Cricetulus griseus: one gene and its partner. The protein of the gene in region 1 purifies or fractionates together with the protein of each later gene. This does not show direct contact. Links are inferred from orthologs where the notes say so. Each region holds a gene or a part of one and is shown on either strand. Other genes may lie near its edges. The genes, in order: Rab3gap1 and Vapb.

Region 1 (12,400 bases):
ATCCTGACTAAATACTTTATCTCCCCCACCTACTCATAGTGTGTGGCACACAAATGTTTGTTGTAATCCCAAGAGTTTCCTAAATGCCTTAAATTGGTTGGGCACACACAAATGAAAAAAAAAAAAAAAATTCCTAACACAGAGAGAATTTATTCAGTTCTCAACTTTGGAAAGCAGGTTGATTTTCTTTTGTCAAACCTAAGAATTGAGTCTGATATATCCTTTGGGTGCTGAGGTAGAATTTTGTAACAAGTAATGAATCCAAACACTAAAAAAAGACACAGTCTTCATATCACTTTATTGTGTTTTTCACAGTTTCACCCCAGAATAGCTGAAAATAGACCCAGAGTTCTGAAAGTGTGACCCACCTTAAAAGACTCCATATCGGAAAGCAGACAGGCACTCTGCATGCGTGCGCGGAGGTGTGCCCCCTCAGCAGAGGTTCCTAATTTAGCTAAGACCTCAGACTGCTCTTCCAGCAGATCTTCAGTCATGGGTGCTGGTTCCTGTGAAGCACAGAAGGACAAAAGTCACCAGTGGCCCCTTTTAAACAAAGGAAAACCTCAAAAATGAAATAAAAAATTGTTTCTGTCATGTAGCCACAGCATACAAGTTTGAAAGAATTCAGAGAAATGTAAAAATTTAACAATCCTCCCTTTTAAAAAAGTAACAAATTAAGAATAAATGATTCACCAGGCAGTGGTGGTACACACCTTTAATCCCAGCACTTGGGAGGCAGGGACAGGTAGATATCTAGGCATTCAAGGCCAGTCTGCTACAGAGAAATCCTGTCTTAAAAAGACAGACAAACGAGATGTGTGTGTGTGTGAGAGAGAGAGAGAGAGAATATAAATGACTCTCAGGTCAGGTCTCCTATCCCTGACAGACAAGACTACCAAGTTTCCCTTGTCAAGAACGCTAAGCTAAAAAGGGACTGGCATTTAAGGCACATGTTTCTGCCTATTAATGTAAAATTTTAGTGCAAAAAAACAGGCTGCAACTGATCAATGTTAGAATGATAGTTCTGACAGGAAGTTTTCTTTGTTCTACAGCTATCACCCATCACTTTGAATGAACAACAATTAAGTACCAGGTAAGACTTACTGACATACAGGGTGGACAATGATTGGTGAGGCAGGATGGCACACTGGTTCAGACAAACAGTTCCCAAGCTAGGTTTATACTGGAATTCCACTATGTAACCTCACTCCTTTCAGAGGTTGTCTGAAAGCTTAGTCCTGGCACACACTTAGTAAACACTAGCCGTTATAAGTAAAACACATATAAACTTCAGTCTCTCCCACAAACTAAACATAATTATTATAGGCAGACAGGTTTACAAATTACATGAGCTTCTACTGAAACAGCACACTTCAGAGCAGAGGCCTTCCTCTTGCTATTAATGAACTATCTCTATAGCTGTGAAGTCACAGCATGGAAGAAAAATTATTAAATGATAAACACGAATGAACCACTAGTGCAGTAATATACATGAATCCAAAATAAAACTGTGCTGGAAAGAATTAGCCATATAAACACATAATGTAGGTAGGCATGATGGTACATGCCTATAATCCTAGCACTTGGGAGATGGAGGCTAAGGATCTGGGATTTAAGATTATGAATTCACAGTGAATTCAACACCAACCTGGACTACATGAGACCTGACTCATCTTTTTCCCTTTCTCCCCACATCAAAAGCCAAGAATATTTCTGTCCTCCTTAGGTTTTTGTTGCCATGGCAACACTGACCAAAACCACCTTGAGAAGGAAAGGGTTTATTTATCTTACAATTCTCAAGTCAAAATCTATCACTAAAGGAATTCAGGGCTAGAACCTGGAGGCAGGAAGCTGAGGCCACGGAGTTATGCTGTTTGCAGCTAATTGCACTTCATGGCTTGCTCAGCCTGCTTTCTTATACAACCCAGGACCACCTGCCTAGAGGTGAGCACCATCCAGTGGGCTGAGCGTCCCAAAATCAATCATTCACCTAGAAAAAAAGTCTTATAGAGCCAATTCCTCCAGTGAGGTTCCCTCTTCCCTGGTGACTCTTGTTTGTGTCATATTGACAAAAACTAATCAGTACAATCCTGTATTATTCTGTGAACACATAATACAAGTAATCCCATTTATATTTTATTTACTTATTACTGTTATATGGACCCCTGACACATCAAGTGAAAGGGATCACACACAATAATCACATACATTGTTGATAGGATAGAAATTAGATCAACCACTTAGAGACACAGTTTAGTAATAGCTATGAAAACATTTCATTATATAATTCACAGGAAATCATGGCCAATAAACATTGAAGGATTCATCAAAAGTCAGGAAAGCCAGGCAGTGATGGTGTACACCTTTAATCAGCCTTCAGGTAACAGAAGCAAACAGATCTCTATGAGCTTGAGACCAGCCTGATCATCACAGTGATGAGGGCTACATAGTACAGCCTTTCTCAAAAAACCAAAAAAGGAAAAAGTCAGGGAAATAAAAGATACTATGTCAGTATACTACTGACAATGATATGGACTGGAAATGTAGTTTATGAAAGTGAAGTAAAATATAAGTAATTTCAGTGCTAGAACCTTATTGAAGCCATAGCTACAAGCTGTTAGCACATACTAAGCATTTCATCATATAAGAAAGGGAGAGAGTGAGAGTTAATTTTTCCTTACCCTTTCATTTACCACTGATGAGGATGTAAAACAGGTACGACCTCTTTAAAGGGACCTTGAGAGCATCTATCTACTTACCTAGTAATGCCACTTTTCTTATGTAATAATGGCAGGGATAGACATTTAAAAGAGCAAAACCTTGTGAATGATATGCACACAGTGATTGACAGGAATAATTAAATAAGCTATAGCTCTTCCATGTGTTAGAATATTATGCAACAATTACAAAGAAATGGCACAGATATACATATAATGGCATCAAGACGGGATAAACAAAGAGCTGAATACCAGTGCTCATATTCAGAAATAAAATCAAATCATAAATATCAATATGTATATATTCATGCACAGAAACATAACTCAAATAGTAATAATATTTACTTCTGAGGATAAGAGCCGAACCAATAGGCAGTAGCTTGATTTTTTTTTTAGAATAATAGGTATTCACATATCATTTATGCAAAAACCAACCACCAAAAATGAATTCTTTCCTAGACACTGAATTCTGTCCTAATGGTATAAAATGGTTTTAAAACATATTTGAAGAAATAAAAATAATCCTAATTAAAGGACTATTATTTTTGTTCTTTCCATTCCATATTTTTGGAGTATTCCATACTCAGTTTAAGAAATAATCATTCTACGGGGTTCAGGGACCACTGTTGAAGAGGGGCACAGAAAGTCTACAAGAGAAGACAAAAGCAAAATAGCGTGTCTGGAAATGACTAGGCCCCTGCACCCATTGATTCGCTGATTCACAGCAGCTGTAACTGCAGCTGCCTGCATAGGATCAAGTCAGTCAGCATTCCAACAGGGAGTGGAAAGGGGTTCATGAGCTCCCACCCACGAGTAAGGAGCCATGGACAGATGATGGTTTCCCAGAGAGAAGAGAGTCAGTTTTTCTTTAAGGGTGTGGCTTCTAGTAGGCCAACCATGTTCCAGTAGGTGGCTCCACACCCAAGAGTATGTAGGCAAAAAAACTGGACTTGATGGGCTATTTAAAAAAAAAAAAAAAAAAAAAAAAAAAGAGGACACAAAGTTAAGGAGGGTAAGGAAGGTACAGATTCTAGAAGTCAGGGGAAGAAGGTGAGGGAGAGTATGATCAAAACACACTGCATGGAATTCTCAAAGAATTAATAAGTCACTGTATCTAAGGTGAGTGCTATCTACTAAAGGTTCAAAACACCACTCAGTTTCAGAGTGACAGACCTAGAAATTCCACAGTTCATTTCAATTCCAAACCTAAACAGGCTTTAAGGAAATCTCCCCTACCAAAAGCAATCTTCCCTCCTACTAGGGAAGAAATTAATCAATAACAAAAGGGAACTGAATTTGAAAGCCTTGTGTACATACCTGGGTCACCGGAATGTAGAGAGGCTCTCCATTATACAGCAATGTGAGTTTCCCATGCTGGTGCAGCCGTCCTTCTGGCTTTAAGTTTGCCATCTCCTTGGGGCCTCCTTTCTTGCCACTCTCCTGTCCATTTCCTTTAAGGTCTTCAGTATCACTGAGGCATTCAAAAAATTCTTCTTCACTATCACTCCAGGAGTCCCAGGATTTCACCACTTCTCCCTTTTCCTTCTCTGTATCTCTGAGATGGTCCAGGCCTAGCTGGCTTCCAGCTTTCCCAGCATCCCCTGGATATGCATTAGTTACATTATCTGAAGGGCTTGTCTTTTTCCCCTCATCACGTGCTTTCTTCCTTTCAATACAACAATTTAACATCTGAAGAAAACAGAAATAACATTCATGGATGAGTTAGTAAAAAGCAAAATGTATCAATTGCTTGGGTATTTCTTTCTAATCTTTCCCAGGACCTTGCTAAGAATTATAGGGATTATAAGCAACCCAGAAGCAGCACAAGGAAAACAGCCTATATAAGCCATTACTACACTTAAGTGTTAGCTTAAGCTTCAAGTGTGTGTGTACACACTGCTACAGCTGTGGGGAAACTGTTACCTGTAGTTTCTGATGTAGTAAACAACATCTTAGATCTGGTGGTCCACTTGTTAGTCTACCAAATAAAGGAAAAAAGAAAAATAAAAGCTTAGTTTTAATAAAATTATACCAGACAAGCCTACTTATTCATGGCCATATTTTTTAGCTGTATTGTCAAGAAGCTAATACTAGATTTTTCTACATAAGAAAGCCAAATTCCAGGAGGGTACACATGACTAAAAGTTCAAATTTACTTTTATCCTCATAGCTCACAATCAACAGCAAATGTAAAAGACATGTGAAACATAGGGCAAACTCCCAACAGCTTCCAAGCTCATTAGAAACTTGAGTCTCTAAACCCACCACAGGAAGTAACTAGTGTACAGTGCTTTGCACATCACACGAACTAAAGTCAGCCATGCATTCATCTTTCAATTATTAGGTGGATTCTCATTACACAAACCAAGGTCTTTCTCTATCTCTATTTTTCCAGTGAGATCCTGGCCTCCCTCTGGTTCTAAATCACTAGGTTCTTCCATTCAGTGTGCTTCTGCATGTGTGGTAACTTTCAGAGCAAAACAGTAACAGCCAAGAGAAAATCCAGATAAACAGACTGGCAAACTCCCTAACACCAAGCACTTTTGGGTTAGTAGCCATTTTCCACTAGTCACATGACTTTCTGTTTAACACAGGTAGACAAGCATTAGCCTAGAAGTACGGCCATGAATACTCAGTAAATGGTCTATTCAATTGACGGACGAAGTGTCCATATAAAAAGATTCTAAATAATGTTTAGTGCATGAACTTACAGTGCCCTTTAAAGGTACTTTCCTTCAAATAATAAAATATATATGGATGCATAAAGAAATACAAAGAAGAAAAAAGTACTTTCACACCTGGGAAAACTATTAACTGTATTTCTCTCCAATCTTTTTCCTACACCTACATATCAGCATAATTGAAAGCATTCTGTAAGGTGTTACCACACCTAATCAGTAATATAGTTTCTATGCCTTTGTTTGTTGAAACAGGGTCTCACTGCATAGCTCTGACTGGCCTAGAACTTGCTATATGGAGCACACTGACCTTGAACTCAGAGATCTGCTTGCCTCTGCCTTTTTGCCTCCTGAGTGCTAGGAAATAGGCATGTGCCACCAACCATGCCCAACACAGTTTCTGGGTTAAGGTTCTTGAGGGCTTCAGATATAGTTCAGTGATAGAGCACTTGCCTAGCATGTATGAGGCTCTAGGTTCAATCCCCAATACACCACTTAAACAAAAAAACAGACTTTGACGGAAACCGTAGACAGGCAGCACAACTGAACAATTCTTCTACTGACAGGTTGTCAGGCCTTTTCTCCTATTATAAATGTACTGCACTGAACACCTCTGAGGAAGCTGTATCCACATTTCTTACTACTTTTCAGGAAGGGTTCCTAAAAAACTACCCAAACAATTGGAAATTAAAATTATTACCCTGGAATCAGAAAGTTGTTTTCCCATCTGAAGCGCATTTCAAGAACAAATTCCTGCCAGAGATGTGCCACTCCCTTCAGCCCTCCATGGTAAAAATTGATCATACAAAGACACAAAGCCAGTTTGTATGTTAAACTGTCAGAGGGCGCAGATTTGAACTGATTGTAGAGAGTCTAAATTTAACAAAAGAGAAACAAATAAAACCCTGTTAACAGCAAATTTGCATACATGAACAATAAGCATGTAAGAAGAATCACATAGTTAACCAATAAGAATCTGCTACAAAACAAACTTAATGATTTGACAAGAACTCTAAAATAAGGGGACTCTGACAGCTATGCATAGTATACTTATGCTATTATCTTCTGTCTCCTAAAAGCTCTTGCTACCCAAACAGGGATCTATGTAAAACATCCTAAGCAGGTCATTATTTGAGTGACTGTGAACTCCACTCAATTTCCCAAGACTTTGGTTTTGGGGGGGGGGGGAGTTGGGAGGAGTGGGGTTCAAGACAGGGTTTCGATGTGTAGTCCTGGTTGTCCTGGAACTCACTCTGTAGACCAGGCTGGCCTTGAACTCACAGAGATCCACCTGACTATCTCCCGAGTGCTGGAATTAAAGGCGTGTGACACTACTGCCCGACTCCAAGATAGTTTTTAAAATGAAGAGATACTTAGGTTGCCACACTAGACATTCAGCAAAACTTTAGAAATTAAGTGCATTTAAAATACTTTAATGTTGAAGTTCAACTTACATAGTCTTCACCCTCTGGTGGAGGGTTGCTATTGTCTATTGAAGCAGTTGCATCCGGTGGCTTCTCAGAAGCAGCATCTGGGAACAAAAACTGGGAAAGGGAATAATACATGTTAAACTTGCCTGCTTTGCTGATTTTTTTATTTCCTTTCTTTTCTCTCTCTTTTTCTTTTTTGAGAGACAAGGTCTCACTATATAGCTCTGGCTAACTTGGAATTCAATATGTAGACCAGGATACTGAAGAACTCACTGAGATCTTAGGCCTGCTCTGCCTCCCGGGTGCTGGGAATAAGTGTGTGAGCCACCAATCACACCTGGCTATTCTGTTGATTTTTATAACCCACAGAAGACACTGTCTGACTTTCCAGTGGATTTGCTGTTAAAATTATAGAAATGTTCTTACTGTGATGTCCAGCTGATTCTATATTCAGTCAAAAGAAATTTTTTTCAGTAATACACAAATTTCAGAAAATCTGCATTCAAATAACCACTTGATTCTGCAAACTGAGCAACACAGAAGCAAAAATCTCATCACACTGATTCCATACTCAAATATACATATATAGATAGATTTAATAGTGTAATATGTTTACCTTGTGTAAGAGAAAAATGTGACTATCTTTAGAGTCAAAGCTAACAGACAACCTAAAAGCACCCCTGTATTTAAGTGGTAAGATCATCCACATGTTTTCGTGTATGAAACACTAAAGGCATGGTATGAAAGACCTATGTATCTTCTCTAGGCTCGGTGTGTGTGGGTTTTAGTCAGACACTGATGAGATGGGAGGTTTCAGTGCTGATGATGACTATATAATTTGCACTTTGAAAACTTTTTTTTTTTGGTTTTTCGAGACAGGGTTTCTCTGTGTAGCTTTGGAGCCTATCCTGGCACTCGCTCTGAAGACCAGGCTGGCTTTGCCTTCACAGAGATCCACCTGCCTCTGCCTCCTGTGTGCTGGGATTAAAGGCGTGCACCACCAATACCCAGTGCACTTTGAAAAGTTTTAAGGTTACTTTTTTTGAAGATAAGGTTTCACTATAAAGCCTAGGCTGGACTTCAACTCATGACCTTCCTGCCTTAGCCTTCCAAGTGCTAGGCTTACACCACTTTACCAAGTTGTAAGGACACACTTTTAAGGAGTCTTCTATACAGAAAATTACTTTCTTTTATTAGTATCCAAACTGTTTTCTGATATTGCTACCCAATAATCTGTCTTCTTTGCCACATGCTCAGACTTTTTAGTTTTTTAGCCAATATTTAACAGACTTATTGAAGTAACTACTAATTACTAAGAGCCAGCAGAGGGACATTTACAAACACTATCCCATTCTCGTCTTACCTACATTTATAATGTACCAGCTATAGATTAACTCTAAGAGTTTTGCTCAGAAAAAATGGCAAGACATATGCTCAGGTCAGCATCGGATCTACATACAGCATTCCCTTTCCCTTCATTACACTATGCTTGAAGAGTTTCCCTCAAGACTATATTATAAGTATAGTTACAATAAAAACAACCATCATTAAATAAAGATCTATTACATGCCAGAAAGTACCACACATGGCCTTTAATTTTACAACACTCTCCAGTTCCTTTTTTTCCTGTTTTTTTTTTTTTTTTTTTTTTTGGTGGGGGGAGGGGGGATTTGAGGCAAGGTCTCTCTATTATGCATTTCTGGCTGTCCTGGAACTCACTATGTACACCAGAACTCAGAGAAGTCTGCCTGCCTGTGCCTCCTAAATGCTAGGACTAAAAGTGAGGGCAATCATGCTGGACTATCGGCTTCATATGAGAGATGAGAAAAATGCAGTGACTTGTTTCAAGTCGGTACTTGTGGGAAGTCAGTATTCTCTCTGCTCTGTGGTTCCCAGGCTGCACCCAATCCAATTACATTATACCTAGGATGCACCTAACCCTCTTCTTTGTTTCCTCTCTAGTCCTTACTGTATAGATTTTTCTAGACTGTTCTGATAAGAACATTTTGAAAGTTCAATTTCTGTCACAAACTGATGTGTTTCAAGCAGTGTTAGACTGTAAGACAGAAGTGAAGTGCCGCATCATGCAGGTTTCCTGCTACCTGCCCATCCTTACCCTACAAACACCACTGTTCAACATGTCCTTGGGCAGCAACAAAGTAAAACCTTAGTGCCCAGTCTTGTGCTTCTTGACTTAGCTCCCAGTGCTCTTTAGGAAGCTCTTTAGACCTCCCATTATGCACGTTAGTACACACGTAGCTACACACGGGCATGCACACACACACACACACACACACACACACACACACACACACACACACACACACACACACACACACGCACACACACAACACGTTCTGTTCTCTTCTTACTGCCTCCTTGTCCTGTTTGACTGTAACTCCACTTCTCTTCTTCCCACTAACTAGTAATGGTCTCTGAATGTAGAACTGTGTTTTACACTTTACACTTCCAATCCAGTGGTTGCCATAAAGAAGGAACTGAATATATAATGAGCACATGCTTATGCAGACAAACAAAATCGAGGTAGCACTTACCAAGAGAATGGTATTGAGAACATCATTGTTCAGTGGTGATTCTTCTCCTCTGTGCTTCCGTATTTTCTTCTTTGCAGTATGTACCATATTTGAAACTGATAATTTATGAATTGGAACTGGTGCTGGTTCCGTCAGCTTTGACAGAGCATGAGTTATATCTGCAACTTCTACAATGCAGAAAGAAATGCAAATTATATCACCAAAAGTGGTAGGAAAGTGATCAGTAAACTGATTGAAGGGACCAGACCCTCACTCAGCCCCTGCTTTAGCAGCCATAACAGGCTACAGAAAAAACATGTAGGCCTCTAACATAAGGAAAACTCCAGATCCTCGGGCCAAAACTGAACAATAACAACAAAAAAACTCCAGCCACTACCTCCCCTCCCCAGCCTCTTAGATGCTTGGTTCCTAGGAACTGTTTGGCCACAAAAGAAACTCCAGGGAAGACCAAAAACTCCAGGGGAGACTTCCAAGATACAGTTCTGAAAACTATTGGTATTTATGAACAACAGGCCACCTGCAAGTAACAAGACAAAGCCATAGAAACTACAGAATGTTCCCTCTCAGCACTGACCAATGAGAATAATTGGTAGACAGGTATTTCATGCCAAAATATGATTTTGAGAAATTCTCCTAATTGTTCCCAAATGTCAACCAATCAGAAACCAACCCGTACCTACTGATGTAATCCTGTAGCTTTTGTCCTTAAAACCTAGCAGTAGACAGGGAACTTCGCTCCCTCTGGTGGCTGCTGCATCAGAAAGCCAGACAGGGTCCCTGTCATGGTTGGATGAACAATAAAACCTTGCTTTTACAGTTCAGTGGGTCTGTCTCTCTGGTGGTCTCTGGGGATCTTCGCAACTTGGGCACAACAATGATGACATTCACATTTGAGTTCTTCTTTACACAAGTATTACATGCTTTCAGAATTATAAAATTTAAAGTTCTGACTCACAAGTTCAGCTTTACATGGAAGTGTGGTGTCAGAGATAAATCACACAAATTATTTTTCCTTGGGGGACTTCAAACATGAATATCTAAAATTCTGCTTTTCAAAATACATTACTATGTTTTTCTGTGGCAAGAATTGATTAAATGCATTTGCTGTCTTAACAAGTTCTGGGTACAGCCTGGAAAGAAAGGCATGTGTGCAATCCATCTACACTTGCTTCTCCAACTTGACTCAGATAAAAAGTTGTCAGAATATATTCCAAAGAGCAAGGGCAAGGCTTTAAAAAGAATGTAAAAAAGGAAAACTATGTCACCTCTTCCTTCTTCCTCAAATGTGGATCGTCCAAGAATCTCATCAGTTGATTCCTTTCGACGGCAAATTTTTAAAAACTCAGTGACAAAATCACCTACATTAAAAAAAAAAACTTACTCATTTTTGACATTTAACTCCAAGAAATCAATTCATCTTAAGTACACCTGTCTCTGTCTCTCTCTCTTCTTCAAGACAGGATGTCTCTGTAGCTTTGGAGGCTGTTCTGGACCTTGCTATGTAGACCAGGTGGCCTTCAACTCACAGAGATCCACCTGCTTCTGCCTCCTGAGTGCTGGGATTAAAGGCATGTGTCACTACCGCCTGGCCTACGTACACTCTCTTAATAAAAGCTATAAGATAAGATATAGTGTGGTGGTGGCACACACCTTTAGTCCCAGCACTCAGGAGTCAGGAGGAGGTCAATCTGTGAGTTCAAGGCTAGCCTACAGTGTGCGTTCCAGAATAGCCAGGACTATACATAGAAACCCTAGGCTTAAAAGCTATGGTTGGGGGGAAAGATCTATTTTGCTCTGAGGAAGATAAAAAAAAAAAAACTGCCCATTTCAGAAGTGGACTTGTTCCTTTTCTCCATCTGGGGACAGAGCAGACTCTCTACTCAGTACTCCTTCTGTTTGGGGTCAAGCTTTCCCCTAGCTCACTAGCCAGCTCCCAGTCTCAGGAGCACTTTCATTCTCAATAAGATGGTTCTATTTCTGTAATGAAATTTTCCTTCTAGAAGGAAAGGAAAACAAAATGTACTTCATAATATTAAGCTCTTTTTATAGGTTTCAATGTTACCAATATCCTTTATCATTAAATCATAAAAGTAACAATATGATTATATATCATTTTCTTTCCCTGTTATCCTACAATACTCTATAATACTTCTTTTCTTTTTCTTTTTTTTTGGTTTTTTTTTTTTTTTTTTTTTTGAGACAGGGTTTCTCTGTGGCTTTGTAGGCTGTCCTGGAACTAGCTCTTGTAGAGCAGGCTGGTTTTGAACTCTCAGAGATCCACCCACCTCTGCCTCCCAAGTGCTGGGACTAAAGGCGTGTGCCACCAACACCCGGTTCCTACAATACTTCTGAAACAAAATATATTAAACTCCAAATACGTTTCTAGAGGATCAATAAATCATGAAACATGAAACTATTACATCTTTGGTTGCATATTAATGATACACTTTGTGTCACTGTAAAGACAAAAATGATTTCCTACATTTTCAAGAGTTACAGATTGTTTGTGGTTGGCGGGATGATGGCTAAGTGGGGTCAATCTCTCAGACCCATATGGTGGAAAGAACCAAATCCCTCAAGTTGTCCTATATCTCCATACAAGCTGTGGTACATGAATGTCACATCTCCCCCAAATAAGTGCAATAAAATATTTTAATTAAAAAATCATATATACAGGGCTGGATGTGAACTTGCTCTCTTCCTGTCTCAGCCTCCCAAGTACTGAGATTCCAGGAAGCTGTACATGGAACCATGACCTTCTCTTCCACAAAGCTTTTCATTGGGAGCCTGAGTGTCTTCTCTGTCAACTTCTTTCAACTACAATCATGTATGGCAGGAATTGATGGAGCATTCAAGGTCATCCTCAACTCACATAGTAAGTTAAAGAACAGCCTACTACATTAGTTTTTTGTTGTTGTTAACAAGTTTTTGTTTTTGTTTTGTTTTTTTGTTTTTGAGACAGGGTTTCTCTGTGGCTTTGGAGGCTGTCCTGGAACTAGCTCTTGTAGACCAGGCTGGCC
Region 2 (12,400 bases), on another chromosome or scaffold:
CTTGGAAAATGACAACCCAACTAAATACAGTATGAAAGCTGCTTCCAGGGCACTGGACAACCACAGACCATTTTCATCTGCACCACAGTGGGGGGGGGGGGCAGATGTGGAGTCTAGACAGCAACACTGCCCAGAGTCAGTTCTCAACTAGAAATGTCTCCACGGTCAACAAGACACAGCCAGCTCTGGCACTCACTCACTCACTCACTCACTCACTCACTCACTCACTCACTCACCCACTCACTCTCTTCCTCCCAGCCAACTTTCTCCCTGTTTCTTTCCCACTAGATTAGCCTGTGCACTAGTCCCTTCTAGACCCAGGAAGGCTCGCCGCACCCCCGCCCCCAGCACTCGGATCACAGCTATCTATAACAGCTGCTGCTGCCCAAGTAGAAGATAGTCAGCTCACCAGTTCCTCCCTCCTCGGCCAGTAGACCTGGTTTTGGATCGGCAAGCATGCATCGAGCTCCGTGTCCTGCACCTTGGGACACTCTCCACCACTCCCAAAACCTACCCTCATTTCTGTGGTGCCCCTCACCACACTCATATCCTAGATGTCCTTTGAAGGAAGGTCAGCCAACTTTGGGATGTACCAGAATTGCAAAGGAGCCAATGAAATAGAATCTGCTGGCGGGGGTCCCACTGAGAACCTGCTCCTGGAGAACTGGGCTGTACTCTTCTCTGAAAGCCACAGGCATGGCTGGAAAGTGCCCCGCCTGTCCCTGCCAAGGGAAGCTCACTCACCAAAGCTTCTTTCTACAACCCCCATGTGCACTGTCTTGCCGATTTGCCTCTCCTAGTCAAAGTGAGTCAAGGGCTGGGTGTCTGTGGAACTTACATGTTCATGAGCACCCACTGGCTGGTGGTGTGAACCCTCTTCCCCTCCTAACTTCAAGCACCCTACACCACACTCCCTTTAGAGGGAGCTCAGTGGTGGTGGCACACGCCTTTCATCCCAGTAACTGGGCGGCAGGGCAACTGAGTTCAAGACCAACTAACTGGTCCACAGAGCAAGTTCCAGGACAGCCAGGGATATACAAAGAAGCTCTGTCTTGAAAAACCCAAAATAACAACAACAGTAGTAATTAATAATAATAAATAGAAATGTTCAAAGGAAGAGATTTTCCTGCCCTCACCCAACAGGCTCTCCTCTTTGCTCTCTCTTCCTCCCATCTCTTCTTGCTGCCTGCTCCCTCCTTGCACAGTCCGCTTGTCAGAAGACCACGGTCCACCTACCACACTGCATTTCTGAAATGATGGCACCACTGCTCTGCTTTAAACCAAAGCAAACATGAGATTCTTATCAGCTGAAGGTGGCAGGCGAAGCTGTAATGGTGGGACTCCAGCCTGAGATACAGGAGCAGACACTGCCGCTGGCCTCAGCCCTCACCATGAGTAAATTCATCATCTCCTTCAGGGCTCTCAGAATGCTGACCTGTGACTACTTTCCTGGGCCTCTACTGCCCAAGTCTAGCAGGTGAATAATTAATTTCTCCTGGTTATTAGAGGACTGTCGATCTAACTGCATCCCCTGTGGGCTTCTCGGCTCAGGTAGCAAGCACCTGGCAGCCTGCTCCACTTGTCTGTGCAGAGGCCACAGTGCACACTTTACCCTTTCTGCAGGACCAGCAGAAAGGAGGTATGCTACAGGCTGCTTGGGCCACTCAGTCCTCATTTCTCAGCTTCCTTCATGTGCTGTAACGAACAGGAGGATACAGCCTAGCCTCTCTTTGGGCCTCCCAGTGTAACTGTACACCCCACCACCCCCATCGTCTCTTCAGTAAGACCTGTGCATCAAACCTCTGAGGGCTGACCATCTGAAACACCCAGGGGACTTCCCATACCCAGCATCTTCTTTCTGGCCTGTTCTCTGAGCACTCACGACCAGTCTACCAGGTACTCTTGCTACCTCCTTTCCCAAGGCTGCCTCTCAAGCCTTCGCCCTGCCTTCTGCAATGAGCTAGAGACCAGAGTGGCTTGGTGAGATTAGAAAGAGCAGGATGGGACTCCTAGGGGAGCCAAGGGCATCACCTGAAAGGACCAGACTGGGGAGGCATTTACCACTGCACTCCTGAATCACCCTGCAATGCAAAAGGGTGCCCTCCAGCTGAGCATCCCCTGCCCAGGGCCCTGGGTCCTGCCCTTCGGTGACATCCGTAAAGGATGGGGATAGTCTCCCTAAGAACCCTGCAGCCTGCAGCAACCTTCGAAAGTTTTAAGCCCAATTAAGCTGAATTTTATTGGTAAAATATTTTAGGCCATAACCTAATCTGGTGAAAAGATTAGGGATTTATCTTAAGCAGCAGTGTAGGCTGTTCTTATCTCAGAGTAGTGAAGACTTCTCGTTAAAAGTCACACTTATCAGAGCCTTCTCAAGCAACGGCTGGGCCCAAGGAAGGTAAAGCCCCATGGCAGCCTCTCCTGTGCACACTGGGAGATGCACAGCAGGCTTCTTTGTCAGCAGGCTAGGAGCACCTTGACCCTGAGATTCAGCACCTGCATGCTGCAGCCCACAGCAGGCCAGTTCAATGCCAGTAAACAGTAGCATCCCCCCAAGCCAGCACCATCTTAAACAGATTAATAATCAGTTCCAATGCTACCCAATGATATGAACAGACCAATGTCACCATCCCAGGAGATGCTGACATCCATTCTGTTACTGGAAGAACTTTACAGTTTCAATGGAATTAAAAAGGAGTCTTGAAGGGGCTGTCAGAAACCTACGCTGCCCCTCTATGCTCTGGATTTCAGTTTAAAATACGGACTCAAGATACTGGGAGACCTATGTTTGGCTTTAATCCATCTTCAATCCCAGGGCACACTGAGTAAAGAGAATCTGTACCTAAAGACTGGCGTCTGTAATGACTCTATCCACACCCCCCATGGACGCTCTGCACGTGTAATGCACTTGGCACAGGGGCAGGCAATGGGGGTAACCAAACTACAAATGAAAGCGCTCACCACTTTGTGGGATTAGAATCCACAGAGGTTATACAAACACTAAACTTAATGTCTGATTACAGGGAGCCTCAGTATTTCTGATGGGCCCATAACTCTACCACCTCACCTGCTGCGCATGCCGGCAAACACTGTTTGGAATATTAATGGAAAAGTCCCTTGTTACTAAACTGTAACATTAAAAACAAGATCAAGATCTGCCACTGCTAACAGCCTTCCACAAAGACATCTTCAGAAATTACACACATCAAAAATATTTCTCTACTATACAGTTTGAAAGATAATTCTATAAAGCTAGAATGGGCCACTCCCACCTGCTTCTCACCAGTGATGAAGGCAAAGGTCCAACCCTCCCTGTGCCTGAAATCTCTGGGAACAACTCAACCACCACCACCACCACCACCACCACCACCCCCGACCCAGAATGCTCATCTCCACATGCCTGGGCTGCCAAGGTGCAAGCCCAGCTCACAAGGTCAGTGTTCATCAAGGACACATGTCTCATCTGTGGCACTCTGGGAGTGACCACGAGCTGTGCTGCGGACTACAGCACGCAGACTACCAAGGTCTACAGCTGTGAAGACAAAGGAAGGCCCAGAGCAGCTCTCCAGGAATGTCCACAGGTCACACTCGGTTGGCATAGAACCTTGGGCTATGCCTCTGCCCAACTGTGACTGGGCTGCCTAGATTAAGGAAAGGAGCCTCACGCACATGGATTCACTGTGTTCTGAAGGAAGCAATGCGGCCCGTCAGAGCCTGAGCTTCTGAAGCATGATGTAAGGTCCCTTGAACTTCAGGTTCATTGGGAAGGCAATCAAGGGTGTGGCTGAGGACCACTGCGGATGCCTGTCACAGCCAAGATGCAGGACACAAAGCCTTTTAAGCCTCAGCCTATCATCACCACTCTCACCCCCTCCAACCCTCTATCTCTCTGCTCCTCTCCTCCCCCTCTCCTCCCCCCTCTTTACGAGATGATTTATAGTTTCCTCTAATAGCTAGAGCCTCCAAGGGTCTTAAGAAAGGGAGGGAGAGTACAGTAGCCCTGTCCTTTCCAGGTGTCCTGTGACATTCTGGGTGCTAGGCAGGACCATGGTGATAGGCTTAAGTTCATTTGACTGTCACCATCTTGTCAATTGTGGGTGAAAATTCACTCATAAACGTGTGTTTTATAGGAATTCAGGAGGGCCACACATTTGCTTTTTTTAAGGCAATGCAAACAGTATACAATTCAGTCTCCATTCAAGCCTGGCTGTTTTTGCATTTACAGGGACAACACTAGAGTGTACAGAGGTGACCAGGCTGGCAAATGTCAGTCACAGGCACAATGACAGATCATGTGAAGCAACAAGTATGTGTGTGAGCACACTGGGGACAGCAGTCTGCCCGTGAACCTGCCTTCTCTAGGGGCTCTGACGCACCATGCTATCACCCCAGTGGCTGCACTCCTCGAGACCCAGGCCTGGACAAGAACAGTGCTTCTCCACCCAAGATATGCATGACTAAAGTGCGGCATTTGCACACCCAGAACCTAAGGCTGCACAGACTACATGGCTTTCCTGGCCCTCAGGCCACCACCAAGGACAGACAGGAGCATTTCCACAGAAACTTTCCATGTGCCACCCTCTCTCACGGGAAAGCTGCAAACGTCTCCTTAGTCAAGCAGCCCTCCTGCTCTCCCACCCCCTAATCTCAGATTCATGCTCAGGCAGCCACCCCCTACCTGGTGAGGCAGCAGCATAGTGCTATAGAAAGACCATCTGCCTCTAACCCAAGCGCTGCCTGACAGTCACGTGACAGGGAAGGATCGAATCCATGCCAGTTCCTTACTTTCTGATCTGCAGAGGAAGGCATAGCAACAAAAGCAGCCCTCACTGAGGAGCCTGAGGACTCTCACAACCTTCCAGAGACTAGGAAGGCCTTGCTCCTGGTGAAAGACACATCCGTATGCATGTGCACGCACACAATTACCTGTAACATCAGCAGGCACACCTACACTACCTATCTGCTGAGATTATTTCACTCAGAAAACCAGGCTGCTATTTTCCTATGAAAATTGGTGATTTCCATCTGCTGATAAACTCAAAATTTTCTAGGCTGTGTTATGGGTAAGGAAGCTGGGGGATGGGGCTAAAGAAAGGAACAGGGTTTCGACAAGCTCAGCCACACAAGGCCCTCTGGCAGCACACAAAACAGGGACAGGACAGAAGGATCCAGCTGCGCTAATCCCAGCCAAAGTTTAAGACACATGGAGGAAGCAGCAATCACACCCTGACCGTTCCTACTCTTAGGACACCAGTCACAGAGCGCTGGCTCTTCCACACACCCGCTTCATGACTCAAAAACAGACAGGGACCGGACATGACACCGCACTCTGCACAGTGCAAATGGTGGCAGCGTGTGAGCTCTGGCAGGGGGAACCCTTCGACCAGCGCTGGCTGCCAGCTAACTGCTCCTGACCCAAGATCTGACTCAGGAGTCCAGACCAGGCCTTGCACACTCAGAGAGGAGCATGCGGGGGAGCTGGGGGTGGGTGCTCTATGATGAGAGGCACCTACGGAGGCGAGGAATCAGAGTCCAAGATAATGAAACACCTTGTATCTTTCCAAAGAGGTGAGTCATTTTCTCTTAGGTGTCAGGTGAACAGCCAGATGCAGCACAATCAAAGTCCGTCATGGAAAAACCCAGACAGGCGCTCACTTCAAATGAGAAGTGGGGGACACTGAGTCATGGTGTCTAAAGGACACATCCTCCCCCACAGCCCCTCTGAGCATCACCAGTTCTAATGAGCTGCAAACCCACCGCTTCTCTAAACACATTTAAACTCTAACACATCACTCACGCCTCGATTCTGAAAACCAGCTCTCAATCTGGGCACCTCATCAGCCTCTTTCCAGAGGTTGGGCTTTGGAAAACATGTACCCTGATTGGGGGTCAGGGGTTGGGGGGGCATTAGAACACACAGGGCCCCACAACCGTGACTACATTCCCACCTCCTCAGCTTCAGTGAATAGAGGGCACCTCCAATCACTAGACATGAGCACTATCGGAAATCCTTTAGCATAAAGAAAATAACTCTATCTTGTATTCTCCCACAAAGTAAAATGAAGCTTGTTTAGTCCCTTTCTACTCCAAAAGAATGGAGGTGCCTACTCTCAAGTCAGGCTTAAAGCCACCGCTTTAACTTTGCTCCCCTACTAAGGCATAGGCAGTGCAAGCACGAAAACAAAGAGACATGGATTATAGAGAGTCGAGGGTGGTACCAACCAAGCTTTTACCCACGGTGGGATGGGAGAGGTGGGGAGGAGTCTGCACTGTCCTGAACATACCTGCTCTGACAAAGCTCTAGGCAGGGGTCCTCTGGAACCCACCCATGACCTCCAGAGTCAGCACTTACCCGACACGTTGAGAGAGGCCCCGGCATCAATGACCCCACTGTTAGGCCGCACGCAGTACCTGCGCGGTGCTGTGGTCTTCACTTTAAAACACACATTTCGGTCTGTTGGGTTGCCAAGCTTTAGGTTGGTGGTAACGACATCAGTGAAGGGACCTATATGGAGAGACAGACAGCTGGTTGGGGTCCTGTGAGGAAAGTGTAGGAGACAGACTAGTTTGGTGACAGAGATAACAGATATGGTGCGGAAGGAGCTGTGAAGAGAGCATAGCTAAGACAGCAGACCTGTATGAACGACAGGATCTAGAACCAGACAGTCCAAATACAACAACAGTTACCTGTGCTCAATATTCGCTTCTGCAAAACCCCTATGGAATCTGGCAGAAACTATACAGAGGACCAGGCATGGGTCCCCAGCGACTATTAAGAGCAGAGTGTACCAGGTGGCAAGTGGCAGGTGGCCTCTGGCAAGCAGGACTCTGTAGAGAGGAAAACCCCTAACAATTCGACGGCAAGGACAGCTGGCCTCACTCAGAGGCCTGCTAGCAACTCTAAGCATCAGGCTTCAGGGAAGCCTGGAACGACGTTCTGTGGCTCTGGGTTACTGTTTATTACTATTACTGTTCATTTCCTACTTTATTAGATTTTTTAATTAAAAAAGTAAAACACGCTTCTTAAAACAAACCAAACAATGAAAGATGTATAAAGAGAAGTTAATAAGCTTCATCTGTGCCTGAGGTAACTAACCAACCATGTGGGAGCTCGTGCAGCCGTCTAGACTTAGGAGCGATGTACACAGGACATGCCTGCACTATTGCTTCTCACTGGCTCATCAGTGGACACCTCACCACCAGGCTTTATGAGGGGGTCAAGGGGGTCAGGTCGAGAGAGAGGCGGCAGGACCTCCTGTCATGGCACATGCGCCTGTGTGTTCACGTCTGTGTGTTGCTATGGAGCAAACCCAGACCTGCGCATGTACCCAGTCTCTGAGCTACACCCCAGTCCCAGATCCAGTCTGCCCAGTTTCCCGTGAGTGCCACATCTTTGTTTCCTATAGGCAGGCTTTTCAGTTCCACCCTCACATTTATAAGGAAGCAGGGGAGGGGAATGTGTTTCCGTGGTTACAAAGAATATCCACTGGCTCACCTGTCACATGTCAGAGGCCCCAACAGACTCTCAGAGATGTGCTCTGAAATGCACCCTCAGCGGCTGAGGGCAGGGTTATGCTTTGTCCATCTCCATTCCCCACACTCTGCCTTGATACAGTAAAGGTCTTGAGACACATACACCAAGAAGAAAACTACTCACAGATTATCTCCAGAAAAGCAAGTGCCTTAGGCTGGCTTCCTCTGAGGTACTCAGGGTATGAAAGATCAACTGAATACAAGCTTAGCTTAAACACAAATGGTGGACTAAGGCGGAGAGGCTAGAGTCCAAAATCAAGCATAGTGCAGCACCAGTCTGTCCAACTGGGGTAGATATGCACATCAGGGGACACGCTGAGCATAAGACAATTTTCACATTTGCTAATGCACAATCTTGTCTGTAAGGAGCCCCAGACAATTGGTACCTGCTGAACCTCACTGTGCAAAACACATTGTCGCTGACATGGCTACTGGGCTCTGCTGCTTTCTTCACACATGGTCACCAGTCACTCATCCAACTTCAGCCTCCCGCAAACACACAGTAACTGTGGGCTGGAAGCCTAGAGCCACCTCCATATAGGAGCCCTCAGCTGTAGTGCCTGCTGGTCCATCAGCCCCTACCCCACTGGCCCTGTGGCTCCATTTCCCTGCTCTCCACAGCTCGGGGGACTGCGGGATGCATGTTTTCAATGCCTCACCCACTGAGGAGCGCTTGTCCTAAAAGCTCTTCTCATTTATGGGGAGCACCTCAGAGATCAAAAGGCCTGAAGACAATGTCTCCATCTGCCTACCTTGCCTTTCAGGAAGCCCTCCTCTAGCTCTAGCAACCAGGCTGAAAGCCAACAGGGGGACTTCCTGAAGGACTTGGAAGTGATTCCACAGAAAACCACCCAGCTCCCCGACTGGGAACATATGGGAAGCAGCTAACCTGTGCCCAGAGGGTTTTCAGCCACAGGGAGCAAGAGCTGGGTACTGACAAGGCACCACCCTTGCAACAAGTTCTTGGCCTCCAGGGAGAAATGAGACACTTTGTGCTGAGAACATCCAGGGACTTATGGGAATTCTACCCTGTCCCACCTCCACCGCATGCTGGCTGACTCATGGGAAGATGGGAAGGTTGATCCCCCTTTACTTAAGGTGGGGATCACTGCAAGTGAGCACCGTCTATAAAAAGGAGAGCTAAAAACAGCTTTGGTTTTCTAGGGCCAAAGAAAGTGGTAAGACCTACAAGCCTGCATGGTACAACTGGCCAGGCGGGTATTTCATAAACACACCCAACACCACTCTGCAAGCGCAGGTGTTCAGGCAGCCAGGGGTCCTGGAGGACAAAGTCTCTCTCTCACACACACACACACACACACACACGCACGCACGCACGCACGCACGCACGCACACGCACACGCACACCCTAAAGGGCTTGTTTCCAACAGCAAGTTTGGGAGGATAGAGGCAGGAGGACCAGAAGCTGAAGGTCATCTTTTGGTACATCTGGGATTCAAAGATGACCCTGTAGAGAATCATCTGAACATAACCCAGGAACTTACCAAGGAGCAGGCTGCAAAGCTTTCTGAGGAGATCTGCCTCTACAGTGTGGAAACATGGGCATACCAGATACACAACAGACATAGAGATACCTCACAGGCGAGCAGAACACTGAAGATGCCCACCCCAGCCCCTAGTGACTTCCCCTTCTGTTCCCATAAAGCTGGGCCGGGAACCCAGGTGGAGACTTCACCAGCTTCTTGTAGGACTCCAGACACATGAGCCAGATTCCATTGAGCACAAACGTGGCAAGTTCTCCGGGCCCGCCCCTTATGTGGCAATCTAAATGCTGTTTCAATTTACATGAATCACATAAAAGATGATCTAAATTATTAAAAGATGAGCGATATTGGTAACAGAGAGTGGGATGAAATAAGTAGCGTTTCCCCCCCGAGCGCCCGCCTTGGGTCTGGGCACTCATTTGTAAAACTCTAGAGGGAGCCATGCTGGAAATAGATGCAGCACAGACATCATTGGCAGGGCAGCAAAGTCTCATGGGTAAAAATCAAGGCATTTTGTAAAAACAGGCCAATCCTCCTCGCCCCACTCTGGGCAATTTACTCCACGAATTTTATTGAAAATAAATTCGATTTGAGTAATTACAGGAGATAAACCATGTTAGTGTTCTCCTTCCCCCGTACTAATGAATTAGAGCGCACAAAAACCGCAATAAAAATGATGGGAAGGCTTATGAGCCTCACTCAGATCTTTCCCAGTCACTTCCATTTCATAAAACTGCCATTCCCATTAAAGCATTATGTAAAAAATGGGATTTTACTCCGCAAACACGCATATTTATCACCAATGAATTTAAACATTGCTTATAAAATACAAAGTCAATTTTACAAATGAAATCTTCAAAAGTTAAGCTTTTTTCTTTTAAGAGATGAAAAAAAAATGATTTGTGTCTCTAGAGCTGGAACACATCGCTTCCTTTAATTACTTTCTTCCGTGCCATCTATCCCTTGGTCCAGATGTCTGTGTGAAATTAGAAACTACACATCTCCAGCATGAATGAGCACGGTGAAGCAACCTCAACCTGAAGTAAATTCCCAGAATGCTTTGACATTTTTTTTCTTCTCTGTAACAGGCTGAATGGGTTCTTCCTTCCCCGTTACAGCTGTGTGCACCTGCGGGCATTTATTAAGGTTGATAAAGATGCTCATGAAACAGCATTAACTAACAGAATATGAACTCCTCCACTTGTTCTTGAAGGGATTAGATCCAGCAAAGCAGGGCATAAACCACCCCGCACCCTCCCCAGGCCTTGTGGCTTGATTCTCCGTCTTTTTAAATTACTTAAGAAAGTAAGGTCTGGATTCCTTGTTTGAGAAAGCAAAGAACACAGACCCAGAAGAAATGTTCATAGTCACAAAAGTAGATGGGGAGAATGGTTGTTCTGTTGCAGGTCACAGGACACAAGTTCAGACTTCAAACACTATCTTCAAGTTCCAGGTGCTGAGATCTCTCCAGAGACAGCCAGATTCAAGCCAGGCCCTCCGCAATCACAGAGGCCCAGGCAGGAGGGCTGTGAGTTCAAGGTCAGCCTGAACTACACAATGCACAACAAGAAATTCCAGTCTACGGTGTAAGATCCTGTCTCAAACAAAACAAGACAAGAGAGCTGGGTAATTTTATGAATCAGGAAATGCTCGGGTAATATCTAAGTGCTCCCTGAACCTTTGCAAGGTCTGACCACTTTGTGGTGGCACAGAGAGCATCATTAACACAGAACTCCTCCTGTCAGGAAACCCAAACTCCAACTCAGCAAGACAGCAGCTAAAGGGTCCATATCTGGCAGCTGTAAGGGCCATGGTGAAAGCAGAAGGAGCTCAGGGCTCAGCCTGGGATGTTCTCATTTGCAGACTTAAGTGTGTCTTAGGGTTCTGTCTGGTAAGTGGCAAGACTGCATGCTGAAATGGTAAAGATGCATTTTATTTTTAACACAGCAATTCAGTTCTACTAGAAAATAAAGATTAGCAATGCCTAATATAGTGGGCATGGTGGCACACACCTTTAATCCCAGCACTTGGGAGGCAGAGGCAGGCGGATCTCTGTGAATTCAAGGCCAGCCTGGTCTACACAGTAAGTTCCAGGCCAGCCAAGTCTACAGGTGGGACACTGTTTTGCAATTAATAAGTAAACAGATCCTAAATGAGACTCTTGGAAGGTAGCATGGAAGGAAATCTAAATGACTTGGACTTGGGTGATTTTTTAGGAAAAACAAGCATGGTGGAATCCATGGAAGAAAGAAGTGAACGGGTTGGACTTCATTCAAATTCCCAACCTGTGGTCTGGGCTGGGACTCTCAGGAGCACTGCTGCCTAACACTCAAGAAGCCCTGGTCCCGTTTCCAGCACTGAAAAGTCAAATAAAAACATCTGCTCTGCAAAAGACATTCCAACAGGCTGGAAGGACAAGCCAGCTATGGAGCAGGAGGGCTACCTGCAGACGGTGGGCCTGATAAAGGATCATCTGCAGAACATATGGAAAACTCTTGAACACACCACCTGGTTTGAAAATAAACAAAAGAGATGTAGAATTCCCACCAAAGACAGGCAGAGGGCAGGGGGCACATGGGAAGATGCTCCTAGAAGAACACAGGCTGAAAACAATGAGGTGTTGTCACTTGAAAACAATGAGATGTCCTCACTTGCTTCCCAGCACAGCTGAAGCCAATGCAGCCACTGTGAAAAGCAGCCAGGTTTTCCTTTTTTCTTTTCTTTTTTGGGGTGCTATTCAAAATTAAATTGAGGGCCTCACACATGTTACACCCGGTCCAGTAGGTGTTTCTTATAAAACCAACCCTAGTCTCCTTATCTAAGTCAGCCATCACTCCCCTTGGCACTCCTTGAAGTGGAGACTCAACGGTCTCACCAGAGGCAAAACCAAGTCCTTCAGAAAGTAGAGACAGACAGGGGGATAATATTCACCAAGAAATAAGTAATTAAGGCATGAAAAGCCATGGCAAGACCCTAAATTCATATTCTAAGTGACAGTCACCATGTGGCATTCTGGAAAGGGCAAAACTATGGAGATGGTAACATGGTCCTGGGCTGACAGAGTGAGTGGGTTCGCAGCAGTGAGAGCCCATGAGCCACCAGCAGAGCCCAGGGCAGACAATGGACTTCAGTAGGTACAGGGCCCCGGGCTGTAAGAAGTGCAGCCAGCACTGATGTGGGAGCTGTTCTGTTGGGGGCTCCCCTTTCTACACCATCTTCCATGAAGCACAACTGTCTACACAAGAGCTTTATTATAAAACAGACGGGTGCGGCTTGCTACACCTGCGTGTGCATACCAACCAGCACAGGGGAGTCACTGACACTCTCACTTTGCACAGAAACCTCTTCCTCTTCTAGGGCTC

What was found.
Region 2: the proteins of Rab3gap1 (region 1) and Vapb purify together in Homo sapiens (affinity purification with mass spectrometry; 4 studies listed by BioGRID and IntAct, counting the BioPlex papers as one, with this or other methods). This does not show direct contact. The link is inferred for Cricetulus griseus from reciprocal best matches to the Homo sapiens genes RAB3GAP1 and VAPB.

Annotation. Positions count from the first base shown.
Region 1 is NC_048598.1:60,891,261-60,903,660, forward strand, and holds part of Rab3gap1 (rab3 GTPase-activating protein catalytic subunit), read right to left. Parts: intron 10,739-12,400; coding exon 10,646-10,738; intron 9,548-10,645; coding exon 9,381-9,547; intron 6,940-9,380; coding exon 6,850-6,939; intron 6,269-6,849; coding exon 6,096-6,268; intron 4,696-6,095; coding exon 4,641-4,695; intron 4,407-4,640; coding exon 4,035-4,406; intron 507-4,034; coding exon 369-506; intron 1-368. UniProt on the Homo sapiens protein: Catalytic subunit of the Rab3 GTPase-activating (Rab3GAP) complex composed of RAB3GAP1 and RAB3GAP2, which has GTPase-activating protein (GAP) activity towards various Rab3 subfamily members (RAB3A, RAB3B, RAB3C and RAB3D), RAB5A and RAB43, and guanine nucleotide exchange factor (GEF) activity towards RAB18.
Region 2 is NC_048599.1:5,239,341-5,251,740, forward strand, and holds part of Vapb (vesicle-associated membrane protein-associated protein B/C), read right to left. Parts: intron 6,506-12,400; coding exon 6,353-6,505; intron 1-6,352. UniProt on the Homo sapiens protein: Endoplasmic reticulum (ER)-anchored protein that mediates the formation of contact sites between the ER and endosomes via interaction with FFAT motif-containing proteins such as STARD3 or WDR44.